Linked DNA regions of Mus musculus. The protein of the gene in region 3 binds, or shares a complex with, the protein of the main gene of each other region. Links are inferred from orthologs where the notes say so. Each region holds a gene or a part of one and is shown on either strand. Other genes may lie near its edges. The genes, in order: Zbp1, Mefv, Ripk1, Ripk3 and Aim2.

The links.
Region 1: Ripk1 (region 3) and Zbp1 share a complex: the UniProt entries of both Homo sapiens proteins name them as parts of the AIM2 PANoptosome complex. The link is inferred for Mus musculus from reciprocal best matches to the Homo sapiens genes RIPK1 and ZBP1.
Region 2: Ripk1 (region 3) and Mefv share a complex: the UniProt entries of both Homo sapiens proteins name them as parts of the AIM2 PANoptosome complex. The link is inferred for Mus musculus from reciprocal best matches to the Homo sapiens genes RIPK1 and MEFV.
Region 4: Ripk1 (region 3) and Ripk3 share a complex: the UniProt entries of both Homo sapiens proteins name them as parts of the AIM2 PANoptosome complex. The link is inferred for Mus musculus from reciprocal best matches to the Homo sapiens genes RIPK1 and RIPK3.
Region 5: Ripk1 (region 3) and Aim2 share a complex: the UniProt entries of both Homo sapiens proteins name them as parts of the AIM2 PANoptosome complex. The link is inferred for Mus musculus from reciprocal best matches to the Homo sapiens genes RIPK1 and AIM2.

What each region holds. Positions count from the first base shown.
Region 1 is NC_000068.7:173,206,104-173,208,928, forward strand, and holds the end of Zbp1 (Z-DNA-binding protein 1), read right to left. Parts: intron 1,817-2,825; coding exon 1,639-1,816; intron 1,124-1,638; coding exon 1,114-1,123; 3' UTR 509-1,113; downstream 1-508.
Region 2 is NC_000082.6:3,708,120-3,711,633, forward strand, and holds part of Mefv (pyrin), read right to left. Parts: intron 2,894-3,514; coding exon 2,675-2,893; intron 2,268-2,674; coding exon 2,245-2,267; intron 1,010-2,244; coding exon 894-1,009; intron 719-893; coding exon 426-718; intron 109-425; coding exon of another isoform or gene 77-108; intron 1-76. UniProt on the Homo sapiens protein: Involved in the regulation of innate immunity and the inflammatory response in response to IFNG/IFN-gamma.
Region 3 is NC_000079.6:34,001,089-34,005,164, reverse strand, and holds the start of Ripk1 (receptor-interacting serine/threonine-protein kinase 1), read right to left. Parts: upstream 2,803-4,076; 5' UTR 2,459-2,802; exon of another isoform or gene 2,371-2,458; intron 2,292-2,370; exon of another isoform or gene 2,212-2,291; intron 2,202-2,211; exon of another isoform or gene 2,007-2,201; intron 1-2,006. UniProt on the Homo sapiens protein: Serine-threonine kinase which is a key regulator of TNF-mediated apoptosis, necroptosis and inflammatory pathways.
Region 4 is NC_000080.6:55,786,051-55,790,330, forward strand, and holds the start of Ripk3 (receptor-interacting serine/threonine-protein kinase 3), read right to left. Parts: upstream 2,808-4,280; 5' UTR 2,587-2,807; coding exon 2,567-2,586; intron 2,413-2,566; exon of another isoform or gene 2,332-2,412; coding exon 2,188-2,331; intron 2,084-2,187; coding exon 1,774-2,083; intron 1,390-1,773; coding exon 1,232-1,389; intron 1,111-1,231; coding exon 1,064-1,110; intron 967-1,063; exon of another isoform or gene 875-966; coding exon 707-874; exon of another isoform or gene 601-706; coding exon 533-600; intron 309-532; coding exon 1-308. UniProt on the Homo sapiens protein: Serine/threonine-protein kinase that activates necroptosis and apoptosis, two parallel forms of cell death. Necroptosis, a programmed cell death process in response to death-inducing TNF-alpha family members, is triggered by RIPK3 following activation by ZBP1.
Region 5 is NC_000067.6:173,419,145-173,423,410, reverse strand, and holds the start of Aim2 (interferon-inducible protein AIM2), read right to left. Parts: upstream 2,808-4,266; 5' UTR 2,725-2,807; intron 1-2,724. UniProt on the Homo sapiens protein: Sensor component of the AIM2 inflammasome, which mediates inflammasome activation in response to the presence of double-stranded DNA (dsDNA) in the cytosol, leading to subsequent pyroptosis.

The DNA.
Region 1 (2,825 bases), on a different chromosome or scaffold from region 3:
CAGAGGAGACTAACGGGCCCCTCAGCTTTGTGTAGGGCATCAACTGTGAACAATAGCCTACCCTTGTCATGGGACTTGGGAGTATCTTAGTTAGGGTTTTATGGCTGTGAACAGATACCATGACCAAGGCAAGTCTTATAAAAGACAACATTTAACTGGGGCTGGTTTACAGGTTCAGAGGTTCAGTTCATTATCATCAAGGGGGGAGTGTGGCAGCATCCAGGCAGGCAGAGCTGAGAGTTCTACATCTTCATCTGAAGGCTGCTAATGGAAGACTGACTTCCAGGCAGTTGGAGTGAGGGCCTTAAGCCCACACCCACAGTGACACACCTACTCTAACAGGGCCACACCTCCTAACAGTGCCACTTCCTAGGCCAAGCATATTCAAACCATGACAGGGGGCAAGCACCTTTACTGCAGGGCCATCTCGCCCGCCTCTGGTTTAATGCTTTAAATCCGTTTTCTCAGTGGCTTGATGCTCTTTAGTTGAAAGAAACACTAGCCTGGGTTTCAGAGGTACACCTTTTTATAAAAGTACAGTGCATTCAGCAGTGTCCCCCCTCCCGGCCCTGATCCCCCCAGCTGTGATCTCTTTAGGTGGTGACACCCTCCCAGACCGTGACCCCCCCCCAGGCTGTGACCCCCGCCTCTCCTCCCCATGCACCATCCTCATCCCCTGGTTGGTGTTACATGTACTTTCATGTCACATCTGTGTATATGATTTTATAAATCTATCTAAAGTCTAGGAGCCACAACAGAGAAAATGTGGCCCTTGTCTTTCTAAGATGGCTTTCATTCATTCAACATGGTGGCCTCTGGTCACATCCTCTTCTGGCCAATGACAGCCTCAGTATTTCCCATGGCTGTGTGCATACTCCAATTCACCCATCTTTTACTGCTGGGTAGCAAGGTCGGTTCCACTTCTTAGCTGCTGTGAACAGTGTCCCAATCTACATGGATATGCGGAGATCTCTCTGTGTTGACTTTTGCCTTTGGGTGAGCATCCAGGAGTGGTAGAACTGGCTCCTGCGGTTGATCGATTGATTGATCTTGAGGCAGGAAAGGTTGATTTGACTTATAGTGGCAGAGGGGTCAGCCTATGGTCCCACAGCTTCATTGCTTGCTGGGAAGGCAGAAAGAAGAGATGACTAGAGAGACTGGAAGGGGCATGGCCCAAGCTGGGACTGAGGCTGCATTGGTAGCCCTTGTGAGGCATGCATGAAGTTTCCCCCTTAGCATCTCATAAACTGGACTTGGTGGTACATGCCTAGGATTCCAGCACTCAGGAATTGGAGGCCAGGAGATCAGGAATTCAAGGTCACCCTTGGTGACAGAGTGAATCAAAGCCAGTTTGGACCACATGAGACCCTGATGTCTTTAGTGACTCATTTTCTTTGGCTTCCCAAAGTCTCTACCCTGACCGGATGGATATCCTTGTCAGACAGTGAATCCATCGAGAGACTGGTGTGTGGATGATCTTGGAGTCATACAGGACCAAGTTGCTGATCCTTGGCCTTTCCAGGGACAATACCACACTTGAATCACAACAGAAATCTAGTACAGGCCCTGTGTACAGCCACAAAAAAGTCCCAAAGGCCTCTCCACCTCTGCCTGTGCTCTTGCCACCTCTTTCCTCACCTCAGTCCTGTGTCTTGAGAGCTTTCTATGTCCTGGACTTCATGCTCTCTAAGCACAGGTTCTGTGGTCTGGGGGCTACTGTCTCCCAGAGCCATAGCTCTCAGCTCAGAGGTGGGCAGCATGGAGTCACTGGGCGTGTGCTGGCAGCTTCTGGGTGGAGTGGCTTCAGAGCTTGTACCTGGGGGCAGGGAGAAAAGGAAGGTACCCTGCAGACTCCTCAGAAGTGTTTGCTCCGAAAGCACAGTGGTGGGGTTTCTGCTTGAATGCACTCCAGGGCTTTGTTCCCAAACTGTCCTATGGGAGACATAACACTCCCCAACACATGGATTGATTGATTGATTGACTGATGTGTCTCTGTGTCTGTGTCTCTGTGTCTGTGTGTCTGTGTATAGAAGTCAGAGGACAACAGGTGGGAGTTGGCTCTCTCCTTCTACCATGTGGGTCCTGGGCCATCAGACTTGGCAGCAAATGTGTGCACTCACTGAGCCATCTCGATGGCCCAGTAAGACTTAAATACTATACCACACACCTCTGTTCACACCTTGCATGTCTCCCAGTTCATTTCAAATAAGATGGAGACATTTTGCACATGCCTTCAGGCTCTGAAAGGGCCTGGTGGGTACCCACCAAGGCTTTAGGCTCCTGGGTCCCTCTTGTTTCCCAGACTCCTGCTCTGTGCTTCTCCCCTCGGGTTTTGGCACCTGCCATTTTTACACTTGCAACCCTTCCCCCGGATTTGTTGGCAGGTCCCTGTTGGCTCCTTATTTTAGTTCTCTTACAGAGCTTCCTTGATGGCAGGGCTCATAATTTTCTCTCTAGGAGCAGCCATGATGGCTCCCCAAAGGGTTCCTTGCCTGGGCCTGGTGACTGTGACCCATGACACCCACGATGGCCTGGCGACTGTGACCCATGACACCTGTGGCCCATTCTCACTATGTAAACCATGCAGCACTTCACCATCAGGAGACCGTATCTACCTTACATCCAGATATCCTGGTCTCTCCATGCTAATCCTAACTACCCATATGTAGGACTATGCGATCTTACTCCAAGTCCAAAAGGTCTCTGCTTCCTTCAAAGTCCTGAGCAAAGCCCCTCTGTGGCTCTTCATTACCTTGGTGTCTATACCTGCATCCTCCCTGCAGCCTGGATCTATATGCTGGCTTTTGGTCAACTCACTGAGTTCC
Region 2 (3,514 bases), on a different chromosome or scaffold from region 3:
AGATTGTGATAGGGGATAGGAACATACAGGGACCCAATATACCAAGGCCACTACTTGCCTTGATTTAGGCATTTACCAGCATGTTCTTAAGCGCCAGTCAGTTCTGGACTACAGAGGGGAGGAAAGAAAGATTGAATAAAGTTTGTAGTATACCAACTCAGGGGGTCTGAATTACACTCTCCCCACAAGGAAAGATCAGGATTCTCCTGCTTGGACTCTGCATCCTACGTCATTCAAGGCCCCCCAGGCATCCTAAACACTGAAGCTACTACTTCAATCAACAAGGCAGAACTCTGGGGCCTTTTATGACCTGTTTTGTGCTTCCATTCTAGGTGTATTCCTCCCTTTTCTGAATGGCTCCCCTAGAGCAAGAGATAAAGGATAATTACAAAAATCCTTGCTTAGATTGTTACCACCAAACTTACGAATGAAGGTTTCCATTTCAGGAAAGATTTAAATTTTCTTTTGTTGTTCCGAGAATGGATCTCATGTAGCTCAGGTGTGTCTTGAGCTGGCTGAGGATGAAGGTAATCTTTAGGTTCTGATCCTCCAGCTTCCCGTTCTGGGTAAAATACTACATCACAGTCCTGTGTGTGTGCACCATCACACTTTAGGTGAACGGTGGGAACCAAGCCCTGGACCTGTGTGGCGCTAGGCTGGCGCCCTTCCCATTTTGCTACATCTGAAGCGCTGAATGCCATTTCAGAGCTCAGCATTTCTAAAATTAAGAAAGAAAAACAGAAGAAACTGAGTTAGCTGAACGAGTTGGATCAGAAGAAAGCGGGGTCATAAAGGTTTTGCTGTGTAGGGAAGTGACCGAACAGGCTCTGAGCTGCCTGAAGCCCAGGGAGGAGATGAGCAAGGGCTTGCCATTTCCATCCAGGCTCACTGACCTGAGAAACACTGCATATTCTTCTCCACAGACTTTGACTTCTGGTAGAGCAGATGAAGCTTTTCTTTAACACCTGGAGGAGTGTCCAACAGCTCAGAGGCAGACATCATCTTAGCCCTAGAGACAAGAGATTGTCGGCCAGAGAAGATACGAGCAAGATGTTGTCTGAGGCCCTGTGAGGTGACAGACCGTCCCAGTATGGGTGATGCAAAGAAGTCTTTCCTAGACTCAAAGCTCTGGCACTGGTCCTCAACCTCAGCTGTACATCAGCATCACTGAACCACCGTTATAGAAATCACAATGAGTTTAAGTGGCAGCTTTAAAACCGAGTTTAGTCTTGCTATCAGAGTTCCCTATGTCAAATTATACTATTTCTATTGAAAGAAAAAGAACAACAAAATGCTACTTCACTCCTATTAGAATGGCCATTATAACAGCAAAAACAAATGAACAAATAATATGTGATACCTGCATACAAAGGGGTGTCACTTGGCAATTAAACAGAGTGGGATTCTGAAACAGCTACAATGTGAAGGAGCCGTGAAAATGTGCGGAGTGAAAGTAAGCCAAAGGCTAAAGGACAAACATTGAATGATTCTGATAATATGGGGTATTTAGAACAATCAAACTAATAAACAGGGAGAACAGACTAGTGGTTGCCAGGCAGCAGGGGAGGGAGGATGAGGAACTAGTACTTAATGGTACAGAGTTCCTATGTGGGAAGACAAAAAGGTTCTGGAGTTAGACGGTGCAAACAGGTGCACACCAATGTAGCCATATTAACATTAGTGAACTGTAGGCATAAAATAACTGATATTTTATGATATTCATATTTTTATGGAAAAATAACTTTTAAAACCCCACTAACCCCCAACTCTCAACCTCAACACTGAGACTCAGTTGGGGCAGCAGTGGCTTGGAAACCAGGACTTTGTAAAGTTCCTAAGTAACTCCTTTTCCAGTTCACCTCTCTTTCCCCTGCCTGCTGGGCTTAATCCACCTTCATATTGATCCCTAAGGACATCCCCACCCCCACCCCATCCCAAAGTGCTTGAGACCAGAGGCAGTTCTAAGAACTCTGTAGTAAAACAAATGGCATCCATTTGAGAGGTTTCTTGGGAAAGTACCGCTTGAATTCGGCAGGCCTGGGATAAATTCCTTCTCAGCAGTCCATTCCTGCCCTCCCCACTGCCCATACATTTTGTTCTTCCCACTCAAATCCAGGAATGACAGTCTCAGGAAGCTTTAGGAAACAGGAGTCCTGGGTTACAGATCCAGCTCCTTTGTAGGACTGTCTCATCCAAATGCTTTCTGCAAGACACCCAAGGGGACACCATGGGATCTCTCAGTACCTGTGCAAGGTGATTCCAATGTCCTAGGAGAGAAAAGAGGAAAGCTCTCTATTAACAGTCTCCAAGAGCTATGACTCCCCAGCAGCAAGCTGCTCTCTGACTCCCAGTCCTAGGGTGCCAGTAAACAGGATTGTTTCTCCTTCATGGTAATTCTAATCACAAAGATGGAAGGAAGCCTTGCCTGAGCCCACAGTGCAACCACCCTCTAGTTCTTCTCGTCTTTTCTTGGGTGATGCCAGGGGCATCCTACATGTTAAGACGTTCTGGGCTCCTGAGAGATCTCATCAAAAAGACACTGTGGGTCACTGAGACCAAGTCCCATTCCAGGCCTTAATGGCCATGCTTCCTGGCTTGGGGGTGGGATTTCAAGAGCCCAAGTCATGCCATTGCTCACAGAAGGCAGGCAAAGGCTAGGCACACTCACACTGACCTGCATGAGGTCCCACTCTGGCTGGTCTTGCTTGGCCTCTAGTTCTTCAATCATCTCATCCAGTAGGGAAACCCGGGTGTAGTATGTCTCTCTGACCTTGCTGATGGTCTGGCTTAGCTCCTGTAGCCAGGTCACAAAGAGTTGTTCTTGCTTCTCCAGGAGTTGGTATAGCTTCTCAAGTGGACATGAAATCTTCTGCTTCTGGATTTCTGTTTGTTTCTGGGGAACATAGGATTGGGAGATGTGTGGGTGTGTGCTGTGTGCTGGAAGTATGTATCTAGGAATGCCCTCCAAGATCATCTGATAGAGATGGATGAGAGGCAGGCTTTCTCAGTGTGACATTTGAACGAGAATGGCTCCTATAAGGCTCATATATTTGAATGTTTGATCCACAGTTGGTGGAACTGTTGGGGAAGGATTAGTAGGTATGGTCTTTGGAAGAGGTATGTCACTGAGGTTGAGCTTTGAGGTTTCAGAAACCCACACCCTTTCCAATTTTCTTTCTCTGTCTCTCCCCATCTCCATCTCCTCTGTCTCTCTGTCTCTTTCTGTCTCTGTCTCTGTCTCTCTCTTCTCTCTTTGACCCCCTCTTTCTTGGCCTAATGCATATAGATTAGATGTAAGCTCTCAGCTACTGCTTCAGCACCAAGCCTGCCTGCCTGGTGCCATGCTTCCAGCCATGATGCTCAAGGACTCTAACCTTCTAGAACCATGAGGCCCCAATTAAATGCTTTCTGTCATAAGTGTCTCTTCACAGCAATTTAAAGTTTAACTATCTTAAGATTTAACTATTTTTATGTGAACAATATTTTGCCTGAATGCATGCGTATATGTACCACA
Region 3 (4,076 bases):
ACTGGTAATGCCCATTCAGTCTATTAGCAGTGTATTTTGAGAGAGCCATGTGGGCAGTTTATTGAGGTAGACCCAAGGATTGCAAAACCACTGAATGTAAGGTAGGAAGCCAGATAATCAAACACCATTTTAAAGACTTAACTAAGTCATATTTACCTGTTATAGTAAGTGATAACTAACTTTAACTAATGTCATGTCTCAATGGAATTTGCTAATGTTTTGAGATAAATGATTATTAAGTCAGAACCACAGGAAAGTTAATTTTTTTCCACTGAAATGAATCAGAAATTTCAAAATGAACACTGGCAAAATAAGTCTACATTATATTTACATATAATACTGTTTAAGTTCACGCTTACTTAGTGAGTTCCAGACCAGTCAGGGCTATATAGCGAGACCTTGTTTTAGAAAAAAAAGTTGTATATTCGTGTGTACATATCCCTTTTAATGGCTGCACTCCTTTTAAAACCCAACTAATTTTCACTTAAATTTTCAGTGACTATCTTGTATAATAAGAGCAGGAGGACAAAGAATGTCAACTGCTAGCTGTGCCCTACTTCCTTCTTAGAAGAATTCTGATTTTACTCAGGTAAGTGACATATCAGTGGCTCGCTGCATCCAAGGTTCTTTAATTAAAACAGCCTGTGCTTGTTTCACAAAAGGGCATTGAACAAGGAATCAAACCACCAACAAAAGACAAGGTGGAATAAAATTTAACAAAGTATGATCAAACACATCAGCACATTGTGGTCTGTGAATTAATTTATCAAGACTATTTTCAATTTACAAATAAAGAAATTACAAGTTGAGGTTAAATGATTCACCCGAATTGAATTCACCTTACCCCTTCTCTCAGGCTTTCACTCTCAGTTCTTTAATATTTTTTTCTAGAAAGGCAACTAATAATTTTCTTTTGAAAACCCCCAATGCAAAGACGAAATTGTTGCCAGGCATAGTGTGCCATGGTATTCCAGGCATAGTGACACATGCCTTCCATCCGGACACCAGGAAGACAGAGGCAGGTAGATCTCTGGGAATTCAAGGCCAGCCTGGCCTTCTACATAGCTAGCTTCAGGATAGCAAAGGCTACACAAAGAGACCCAGTCTCAAAAACAATAAACAAACAAACAAACAAACATATAAAATCATATGGACTTACCCAGATTAATTGAATATTCTACATTTTAAAAACATGGGGATGTACAGATTAAATTTAAAAAAAACTTAGTATTATATCCATGTTTTTATAGTAAGACACATCTGCCAGAATGATATCCTACCGATGTGTGGGAAACTATATATTTGCTTCAAATTCCAGATCCTACTGGAGATATTAAGGAGACATTAACTAAGGTGTAATAGTACTGTGCCCAGTTTGTAAGTTGTTACCTTGGGCACATATCTTATTACAATCTTGAAAGCTTAACATTATGTGTAAGGCTCAAAGTAGCAAAGAATGAGAAAAATGGAAATTAAAGTTAAGAATTGTTACTACTGTTTTTGTCAGTCATACAAACAAAACATCCCAAATTTCATTTTCAATAAGACTAGTATATTTCTACATACAATACAGCTGTGATAGTTCACCTTTCTCACAAGCCTTAGTAGTATCTTTCCAGGGGCTACAGAATTACACAATTAAGTCATTGCATCCCAAAGTTCACTCTACCATCGAGTCTTCATGTGTTAAGAAAGAATACTTTCCTAAAGGTCTTTTGTGGAATTTCTTGATTAAAACAGCTTCAACTCTTTGCACAAAGTAAAAGAGCAAGAAAATCAAATGATCTGCAAGACACAAAGAATGAGTCACCCTGGGCTGCACCATCCATCCTCAGTGGGCTCTGTCCAACGCTTAGGTGAGGAGGATGTGGCTTATCTTTTTCACAACTCAGAAAAGGTCTGCAGCAACCCATAAATGCAAATGCTACTGAGGACCAGAGAAGCCTTGGATGTTTGACACTGGTCTCTCGTTGAGGTCGTAGATCACTCCTGATTTGCCAGCTCACCTCAAAAATAACGATGAAAGCTACCGACTGCTCTGCCACCTGCTGCCCCAAGACAACAGGAATAGACCCTTTTAAAGAGCTGGTAGGTCCAGGGTTGATAGGTTACATTTAGGTAGTCTTGTTGGGGTCCTAAAGCTTCAAGAAGCTGTCATTCCTACCAAAATAATCGTTCCATAGTCACTCTGTAACCATGGCTACGGCGCACCTTCAGTCTCGACTTGAGCTAAAACGACCTCAAGAAGAGTCCAACCTCCCGCTAGATGACAGCAAGTTCCGCGCTTTTCGATTTCCGGGAACGTTTGAAGTCCCGCCCGCCACCCGGCTTCCGGAAACAACGAGCCCCGCCCTCCGGTCCACGCGCAGAAATCGCGCGGCCTCCGCCCCTTCCGGGAAACCAGCTTCTGAGGAAACTAGCGGCGGCGCCCCTGGCCTCGACCCCCGCGCTGACTTACCTCAGAGGCCTTCCCGCGGCCAAGTACCCCGGCCTAGGTGAGGAAGGACGGGCGGTGGACGTCAGGAGCGGCGCCTCGCCGTGGCTGCCCGGCCGGGACGGCCCTGGGCCCTGACGAGGACCGGTCGGAGTTCGGTGCTGAAGTGGCGCCCAGCCACTCGCAGGTCCCCCACAGCCTGCCGCCTCCCGCCGCGTCCAGCTCGCACCTCCGCGGGTCCGCACCGCCGCTGGACTCCCGGGAGGTGAGCGGCACCGACACCCGCGCTCCCGAGGCCGTTCCGGGGGCCGCTGGTCCTCCTCTAAGGACTACTGGGGTGGTGCTAGGCTGCGGCCGCCCCTGTCTCCGCCTCTGCTCACGCCCCGGGGCTGTGTGCACGGGCGAGCGCCAGCCTCCCAGCTGGGCATTGAGCTCTACTGAGCATGCCAGGTTCGCAGCACGACCATCCCGGAGGCCCGCGGGCGGAAGGAATGGCACTTTTGCCTTGCTTTCTGAGCGAGTTCTGAGAGAGCCCTTAAAAAAAATAATACGGCGGTCATAGCTGCTATATGTCAGGGCGGAGACCGCTTGGCCCGCTAGATAGCGCTGTGTGCGACAGTGGCCTTTGCAAGCTTTGTGGGTTCAGAGGTGACACGGTGACAGAACCACTGGTAAATTATCGTTCGTCCACCACAGCAGCCTGTCGAGGAAGAAACGTGATTAATTTGTAGCCCTCGAAAATAGTAGTTGAAACCCCAAGCAGAAACTGTGTTGCTGCAGGTGTCATTAAGAAGAAAGTTGCACGATAGTCCAGTGATCCCTTATTGTCAAAAGATAAATATGACAAGACAGAGAGAGGGCCACAAAAGACACGATAAAGGAGTCTTATTAAACCATACACACGACCACTTTAAGAAAATTCACAGCCATTTTACCAGATACCTCACCATACAAATAAGCATTAAAAAGATGCTCAATGTCAAAGGACATTAGGGGAACTCAACTTTGATGTAGAGTACACATAAAATGCCCCCAAATCCCAAACATTCACCGATGTTAACAAAAACGTACACTAACTGAAAATCACATACATTCCTGCAAAGAATGCAAAACCTTTATGGTTACTGTATGATTTATCAGTTTCACATACAGGTATGTACCCAAATGAACATACATCTAGTGTATAAACACATGTACTTAAGTTGGGTTTTTTGTTTGTTTGTTTGTTTGGAGTTCTTTCCGGGTGGGATTGGGTGTGTGTGTGTGTGTGTGTGTGTGTGTATAAAACTCCACATATGGGAGGCCAGGAGCCCACCTCCAGTTAGCTCCTTCTTACAATGCATCTTTTTCTTTTCCATACAAGGTATTACTTTTACCTTTTGCTTGTGGAATGGACTAAGCTGTCTGGCCAAGGCAAGAGGCACCAGGGGTGTCTCCATGGCCAGTTTTGTTTGTTTGTTTCTGTATGAGTGCTGGGGATTGAACTCAGATCCATATGTTGCCATGGAAAGCACTTTGCTGAAGGAACCATGAGCTATCTTCTTCAGGTTCCTGTACATTGTTTTTCCTTAAGTTTTTTGTTTGTTTTATTTACGAGTGTGTATATAATAGAGTGCAGATTCTCCTAGAGGCCACAGAAAGG
Region 4 (4,280 bases), on a different chromosome or scaffold from region 3:
GGAGTCTCAGTAAAGACTGGCCCAGGTGTTGTGCCTCTGAAGGGTAAAGTATGTGGAATCTGAGGAGTGCCAGCCACGGGGTCAGAAGATGTCCTTGCTGGTGTGGCAGGCCCAACTGATGTGTCCTGTGCTTGCCTCTCAGGACATTTTCCAGGAACTGGTCCGGAGGGTTCCTCCAAATGCAGGCGGTCCAGCATTTTAGAAACCATGGTTTCCCTCGGGCAATCCATTTCTGTGCCTCTTTGGCTTGGCTCTCTGGCAGACAAGTTTCTGCCGCTGCTTCTGTGCTGAGACAGATAATGCTTTACCTGTGCAGACAGGGGGACCTTGTTGTCAGGAGCTGGGGCAGCCAAAGTAAACCCCAGTGAAAATTTTCTTGGTCTCTGGAGACTAAGGAGTAGGTTCTGGTGAATGGGAATGACAACCAAGGATTAAATAATGGTGGCCAGTGAAGATAAACTGAATGGTTAAGGGAGCCACTTGTGCCATCTCCCAACAGTTCCTGGATGGGAAGGCAGTGCTAGAAACTCACCTCGGAGACAGCAGCATCTACCTTGTCCTTTACCAGATTGTAAACTTCATTGGTTTTTGGTTCGCAGTCTGAAAGACAACAGCGAGTTGTATATGAGTCGGATTTCTTTCCTTGGAGGAGCTCCCTGCTGAAGACCCAAGCCTACCCTAGTTGCCAGAGATACGGCCAACTCACCCTGGAAGGATGGCCTGTTTTCGGACTGGGAACCCCAGCAATGAATCATTAACTCCTTCAGTTTTTCCAAGCCGGGAGTCTCAGGGCTACCTGGAGGCAGCTCTGTCAGTGGAGGACGACTCTGCCTGTCACACACTGTTTCCCGGATTAGTGAAGTCTTGTCTACCACTGGAGTTGGGGGATAACATAAGGAATTCATGAAATGAGGGGACAGCCCATTCTATCGCGGACAGGAGCAGGGAGAGTCATCCAAGTGAGAGGTGAGGTGGGAAGAGGGCAGTGTGTTAGTGGGTCAGGGTAAAAGGGAGGGCTCCAGGGGGGTTTAGGTGCTTTCGGGTACTCCATTTGGAGTCTTACACTCAGCTTCTCTGCCAGCCAGCACTGCCCACACGAGGATCCCAAAGCTGTACAGACACAAATGGAGGCTTAGATGGCCTCTGGCGAGACTTCTTTCCTGTATCATTCCCTTTAGAAGGGCCCAAATTGGTATAGAGATTTGGAGTGTGTTTGGGGTGGATGGTTTACCTGTAGACATCACTCGCTTTAGAAGCCTTCAGGTTGACATCAAATAACAGCTCTGGGTCCAAGTACGCTAGGGTGCCCCCAGAGTCCCTGGATCCTGATCCTGATCCTGACCCTGACTGGGACCCTCCCTGAAACGTGGACAGGCCAAAATCTGCTAGCTGTAAAGGAAAGGAAAGGGAAGGTATTAGATGAAGGGGGGGGTCAGAGATTTTTCCCTCTCTTGCTCCCCAGAAGATGCAGCAGCCTCAGCTTTTTGGAAGGTGTTATGGAGGACCAGAGGGAAGGTAAAGTCATTGAGAACTTAGCAGGAGATCTGAGTTGCTGATGGGCAGGCCTGAGATAAGTCAGCCTGGGTCCGTGAGGGTGCATTAGGCCTGTGGAACTGAGCCAGGGGGTTAAGAAGGGCGTCTGGTAAGGAGGGTCACCTGGTATGACTAGAAATAAAACTCCTAGTTGGGTCTTGTCATGTGTGTAGTCTTGTATTCAGAGGGACAGGTACTCAACATGGTCCCAAGTCTACACTAGGTTGTAGATGGACTAACCTTGGCGTGGAGCTCTGGATCCAGCAGAATGTTAGAGGGCTTGAGGTCCCGGTGCAGGAGCGGAGGGTTCAAGCTGTGTAGGTAGCACATCCCCAGCACCACTTCCTGCAGCAGGCGACAGAGGAGTGGCCAGGGCCGAGGGCACTCGGGTTGCAGCAGCCCTGCGAGGGAGCCATTCTCCATGAATCTTGTCACCAGAGCCTGCCCGGACACGAAGTCCCACTGGAGGTCCTCAGTGACCCCCAGCAGGAGCAGAACGTTCTCATTACGAAGATTAACCATAGCCTTCACCTCCCAGGATATCTTCTTCCTACACGCCGAAAGGGGGCCAAAATTGGATTGCGCTCTGGAAGACCCCACCCTTGCCCCACTCAGGCTCGTGACCACACTCTGACTACAGCTGGGGTCACTCACGAGTTCACGATCTTGACTGCTACATCATGGTTCCATGTTCTGTGGTGTGCCCGGAACACGACTCCGAACCCTCCTTTACCCACAAACTCCAGCTTCTTCAGTTCTTCACGGCTCACCAGAGGAACCGCTGACGCACCAGTAGGCCTGAGAAAGGTTCTTGTCCGGTAGGGGGCCCATCCCCCAGCCTAGCGCATCCTCTGTCTCCCAAGCTCCGGGATTCCGTGACTGCGCGTGGGCAGCGTAGGCAGCGAGTCTAGCCTCCCCACTGCTGCCCGCCTCACCCCCAGCTTTGTCCCCTGCCTCAGAAAAGGCGTCCTTTGAGTGTGTCCCCGGGCCACCTGTGTGGGTGTGCCGGAGACACAGCTCACTCCCCACTCACCATAACTTGACAGAAGACATCGTCGGGAGCTAGCGGCTTCCTGGAGTTATGTGTGCACAGACGGAGCTGGAAACCCGACGTCTACGGCTCGGAGTGTGGACTGAGAGGAAGGCAGGGTCTGCAAAGGGAACAATCAGTAGGTCAAGGCACGGAGGTTCAGGCCCCGAATTCCGCTTCCCAGGTCGCTCCCCCGGACTTTGAATGAGCGACTTCACAACTTCCCTTTCAAATAAGAGGCTCCTTCTATCTCCGCCCCCTGGGGTGGAGCATTGAAAACTTTGGGGCTATTTCCTGTGCACGTGCCTTGAAACTGCTTCCACCCGAGAAGCGCCCAGGCACTGGGCGTGCCACAAAAGGTGTCCTCACCATCCAGGAACGATTGACTCCCCACGATAGCCAGTCTCTCTTGGACCCCTTAGCTCCACCGCTTGCCAACCACATTTTGATGAAGGGAGGATGGAGATCAGGAGGATTTTATGGTCCTAAGATCACGGAGTAACGCTTCTAGTAAGGGTTGTCTTGGGCCAGGTACACATACTGGCTTCTTAGATCAACCGTGTTTTCTTTTCTATAGAGGAGGAAACCCAAGTACTTAAAGTTTAAATCGCTTGGCCAAGTAAGTATGGGACTAGTTTAGAACCGAGTTCTGCTCCACCAAGGTAGCCCTTATTTTATTTATTTATTTATTTATTTATTTACTTACTTACTTACTTACTTACTTACTTACTTACTTTTGAGACAGGGTCTCTTTTTGGAGCCCTGGTTGATCTGGGACTCGAGTATACAGACCAGGTTGACTCAAACTCACAGAGAGCCATCTGCATCTGCCTCCTGACTAAATGCTGGGATTAAAGGTGTACGCCACCATGCTTGGCTTTCTTATTTATCTTAAAATTTATTTATGTGTGTGCATGACCATGCATGTGGTGAAGGGGTGCATGTCATGGTGTGTGTGTGTGTGTGTGTGTGTGTGTGTGTGTGTAGGTGTTCGACCTTGTTTGAGATAGGGTCAGTTTGTTCTCTGCTGTGTGCATAATGCTATGTGTTAGCCTGTTAATGTCCCAGTATTCTCCTGTCTCTCATCTTGCTGTAGGAACACTGGCATGGTATACATGGGCTACTGTCCCCAATGTCACTTTAGTTGTGGGAATATGAGTTCAGGTCCTCATGCTTGCATGACAAGAATTTTGCCTACTAAGCGGCACACACACACACACACACACACACACACACACACTCCAGCTCAAGTTAGCTTATTCTTCTTGACAATGCCTCTGGGCTATATAAATCTACCTGTGGTGCAGGTAAGGTATGAGGCACGCAGTATGCACTAAAGGACCTCTTGGAATCCCTGCTCAGCAAGAGCAGCTACTAAGTAGGGGTTGTGGAGCTGGAAGGCCCAGGGTCTATGCCAGGGTGTTGTAATGAGGATAGGTGTGCTGGCCCTGCAATCGAGCCACTGCTGCTGTGATGGCCTCTGTAGCAGCTCTAAGGGCTTCCCACCCTTCCCCTTGTGTGATACCTTTGGCAAGTAAATACTCTGATTCATGCTTCAGGCAAGCATGGCATATATTCTCCATGAAAGCTTTTCAAGATCCTAGAGTGTCAGACTGTTGGGTAACAGGACTGGTGGTGCACACCTTTAATCCCAGCCCTCAGGAAGCAGAGGCAGGCAGACCTCTAGGACCAGCCTGGTCTACATAAGGAGTTTGAG
Region 5 (4,266 bases), on a different chromosome or scaffold from region 3:
ATGCCAGTACCAACATGCCTTCTCCTGAGAATGATTGCCACAGGATGGGCTGCCCCCACCACAGATTATGCAGTTGCTTCATGGGAGTATCCCAAAAATCCTGTGCTTTGCTCTACACTCCCTATACACTTGTCTGTGACTAAACAGCTATCCCTATGGTGTAAAAACTTCCAAAACTCCTTTTGAAAATAAAAATGGAAAAGATATGCACTTGAGGGATAAACTAGTAAATCAACTGCTGTTGTTCACCAATCAGTTCGTTTTGTCCAGTAAGGCATCTTGTAAGTCTTAGAGGAAATGAGTCATGAATCAGGCAAGATTTCTTCACTATCCCCACAACAAATACAAGTATGTATAGCTGTGTAGTGTACAGGCTGGGGCTGTGTAGTGTAACTCAAGTTGGTCGTCAGACTATGTCTATTTGAGGAGGTAACATTTAAACAATTACAGAGATAAATAGAAAGAGTAATTCTTATATCTTGGAGCTAGATCTAAGGGAAGGTATACAGCCTTATCTATGTACTAAATCACAATGGATTATTCACTTTGCAGTGACTGGCTGTATGCTAGTTTACCTTATTGAAGCAGTAAATGTGATGTTATTCAGTTTCACCAAAAAGTACATCAGAAAGCATTATTCTGGGATAATGATAAATGGCGTTTCCCCACAAGATGTATAAATGGGACTTTTAAAAACATGACTAACATAATATGCATCATTCTGTGTAAAGAATAATCTTAAGTGTATTTTTAAAAAGAAGAAAACAAACATGGAAATATCATATGAAGCGATATAAGATGGTTACACAAGATTCAAACATTTCAACTGACAGAACGCACATGAATTAGACTCATGGGTTTAAAAAGAATGCTAAACTGGAATAAAACCCACTGTGGTGCCTGTGGTGTTTAAAAAAGACACAGTGGGGGAAATTGAAGTGCTGAGTAGCTGCAAAGCAAAAAATACGTGAACATATGTATCAGGCACTAAGCACAAAAACTCTAGTTAGAGCAGCTCTATCAATATTAGTCAGAGAAGACTATAAGACAAATAGTGCCATTAAGGACAGAGTTGCTATACAACAATTAAATGTTAAAGTCATCAAGGTAATATAACCAACAATTCTAAACAGTAAGCACCTCATTGAATAAAGTCAACAGTTGTAAACAAAATTTGACAGTTCTCCACTAACAAATGGCAAATGTACCATGATGGTCAGAAATTACAAAACATTTCCTTCAGTAACTAACGCTTTAAATAGCCAAGAATAAAATAAAACAAAAAGCAAAAAAGTAGAAAAGTTGAACAACATAATTAACAACTATGTTCTGATACTTAGAAATACTTACCACACTTTCGGTAAGGGCACAAAGGTTATCACTGAGTTCCAAAGAGTAGTTACTGTATTAGTTTCTTTTTTTTCTTCAATTTTTAATATTTAAATGTATTTTATACATCAAACATATTAATAATATTGAGCATTTTGAGAATCAAATAGTCTGTAAAAATGTGTTCAACTTTTATATTGATATCCTTTCATACCCTAAAAATATCATTAATGAATATTTAATACAGGAGAACACAGTAAACAGCTATAAGCACTTAAAGAGGCAACACAAAAATCTCTTAAAGAATTACAGGAAAAAACAATCAAACAGGTAAAGGAAATGAACAAAATCATCCAAGATCTAAAAATGGAAATAGAGACAATAAAGAAATCACAAAGGGAGACAACCCTGGAGTTAGAAAACCTACAAAAGAGATCAAGAGTCATAGATGCAAGCATCACCAACAGAATACAAGAGATAGAAGACAGAATCTCAGATGCAGAAGATACCATAGAAAATATTGACAAAACAGTCAAAGAAAATGCAAAAAGCTCTTAACCCAAAACATCCAGAAAATCCAGGACACAATGAGAAGATCAAACCTAAGGATAATAGGTATAGAAGAGAGCGAAGATTCCCAACTTAAAGGGCCAGTAAAGATTTTCAACAAAAATATAGAAGAAAACTCCCCTAACCTAAACAAAAAGATGCTCATGAACATACAAGAAGTCTACAGAACTCCAAACTGGACCGGAAAAGAAATTCCTCCTGTCATAATAATCAAAACACCAAATGCACCAAACAAAAAAAGAATATTAAAAGTGGTAAGGGAAAAAGGTCAAGTAACATAAAGTCAGACCTATCAGAATTACACCAGACTTCTCCACAGAGACTATGAAAGCCAGAAGATCCTGGGTAGATTTCATATAGACCCTAAGAGAATACACATGGCAGCCCAGGCTACTATACCCAGCAAAAATCTCAATTACCATAGATGAAGAAACCAAAATATTCCATGACATAACCAAATTTACACAATATTTTCTCATAAATCCGGCCCTACAAAGTATAATAGATGGAAAACACCAACACAAGAGGGAAACTACACCCTAGAAAAAAGCAAGAAAGTAATCTTTCAAAAAAACTAAAAGAATATAGCCACACAGATATAATTCCACCTCTAACAACAAAAATAACAGGAAGTAGCAATCACTTTTCCTTAAATATCTCTTAGCAATCACTTTTCCTTAATATCTCTTTTCAGTTCCCCGCAAAAGACAGAATTGGATATGTAAACAGGACCCAGCATTTTGCTGTATTAGTTTCTTTTCTGTTTTGATAAAATGTCATGAACATTAGCAACATAGGGGAGAAGTAGGTTTTAATTTTACTTACAGGTCCATGAGGGTGGATTTCATCACGACAAGGAAAAAACCTAGCAGCTAGTTAAGGAAGCATGGCGGCAGACAGGACAGGAAGCAGGCAGGACAGGAAGCAGGCAGGTTGTGATTCTTGCTCAGACAAAGAAACAGAGTTACAAGTGAGACCGCCTATCACCTCTCACAGGCCGCCCTCAGTGACCCACTTCCTCCAATAAGGTTTCTCCAGTAAGTTCCTCCTTGTGAAAGTCCCAAGACCTTCCGGAGCCACCAGCCGGCATATATTCAAACCTCAACAGATACCATAGGAATGATCCTTCCCCCAAATTCCAGGGATTTAACTATGGAAATGGGAAAGCAGGATCCAATTGGAACTAGACTGAAATAAACTTGCTATTACCTAATAAAGTAAAGGAAATAGAGATTAAAAGCACATATAATTTTTAAAAGATGCCATGTCACTTGAACATTTGGGATTATGGAGTAACATTATCTGCTTGGCATTTCTTTCTTTTTTTTTTTTTTTTTTTTCTATTTGATTCCGTGTCTGATTTTTTTTTAATTGTTCTTTTGTGTTACTACCATGCTGGGTTTTTTTTTCCCCACATTTTTTTTATTAGATATTTTCTTCTTAGATTAAGGTTACTTAGAATTTTGAGCTCTGATGCTTTCAAGCTAACGTTACATCACAGGCTTTCTGTCATGCCATTATTCTCACCTTTTATCGAGAAATAGCTCCCTGGCCCCTATGTTTCTTCCCCCTTCAGCTAGAAATCAAAAGCCCTCTTCTAAATATAAATTCATGTCAATAAAACACCTACAGACCAACACACCCAGAAAATCAGAGTTCCTTTTAGGCTCAGTCTGGGTCAACCCTCTGAACAATATATTCTAATTCCTGCCACGGCCAAATGCACTTTCTTTTGTAAAGGTCTCAGTTGTGGTGCAATAAAAGATAACTTCTGTTCCTCAGTCAACTGAAGGTTTAGAACCAGGCTTCCTGCAGCCTTATTCTTTTCTAGAATACAGTCAATACTAATCCCTCTTTCTAACCTCAGAAACCCAGGACTCTCTTTCCTCTTAATTTACTGATTAGCAAAATGGTCCTAAAGCTTTCTCTAGAAAACTTCTGACATATCTTACTTACCTCAGGGGATTTTCTTCTCTCCAAAGCAGCCTTAGTTCTCAACTCAGGGACTGGTGTATGTCCTGAGAGTTCAAACCATCCGCCTCACAAAGATTTTCACTATGAGTAGTAGGACATGAAAATCATGAAAATCAGGTCTTGGGAGACAGAAAGCAGAAAGTACTCTCAACTATCTTCTTTCACTTTGAAGCTTGGCTAGTCCTGGCCCTATAGCTGAGTCCTAAACCCTGATGCTGGGGCAAAATAATTATATATTAAGGCTCTGCCCAAGCAAATGCTAGTTTTCAGTTTCCTTTTTACAAGCCTCAGCAGAGTTTCTCCTCCAGCTGTGAGGTCTCAACCAGAGGTATTTTAGATATAGGGAACTCCACAAAAGTTATTTCCTGCTTTACCAGGGAGTTCATAGCCTAA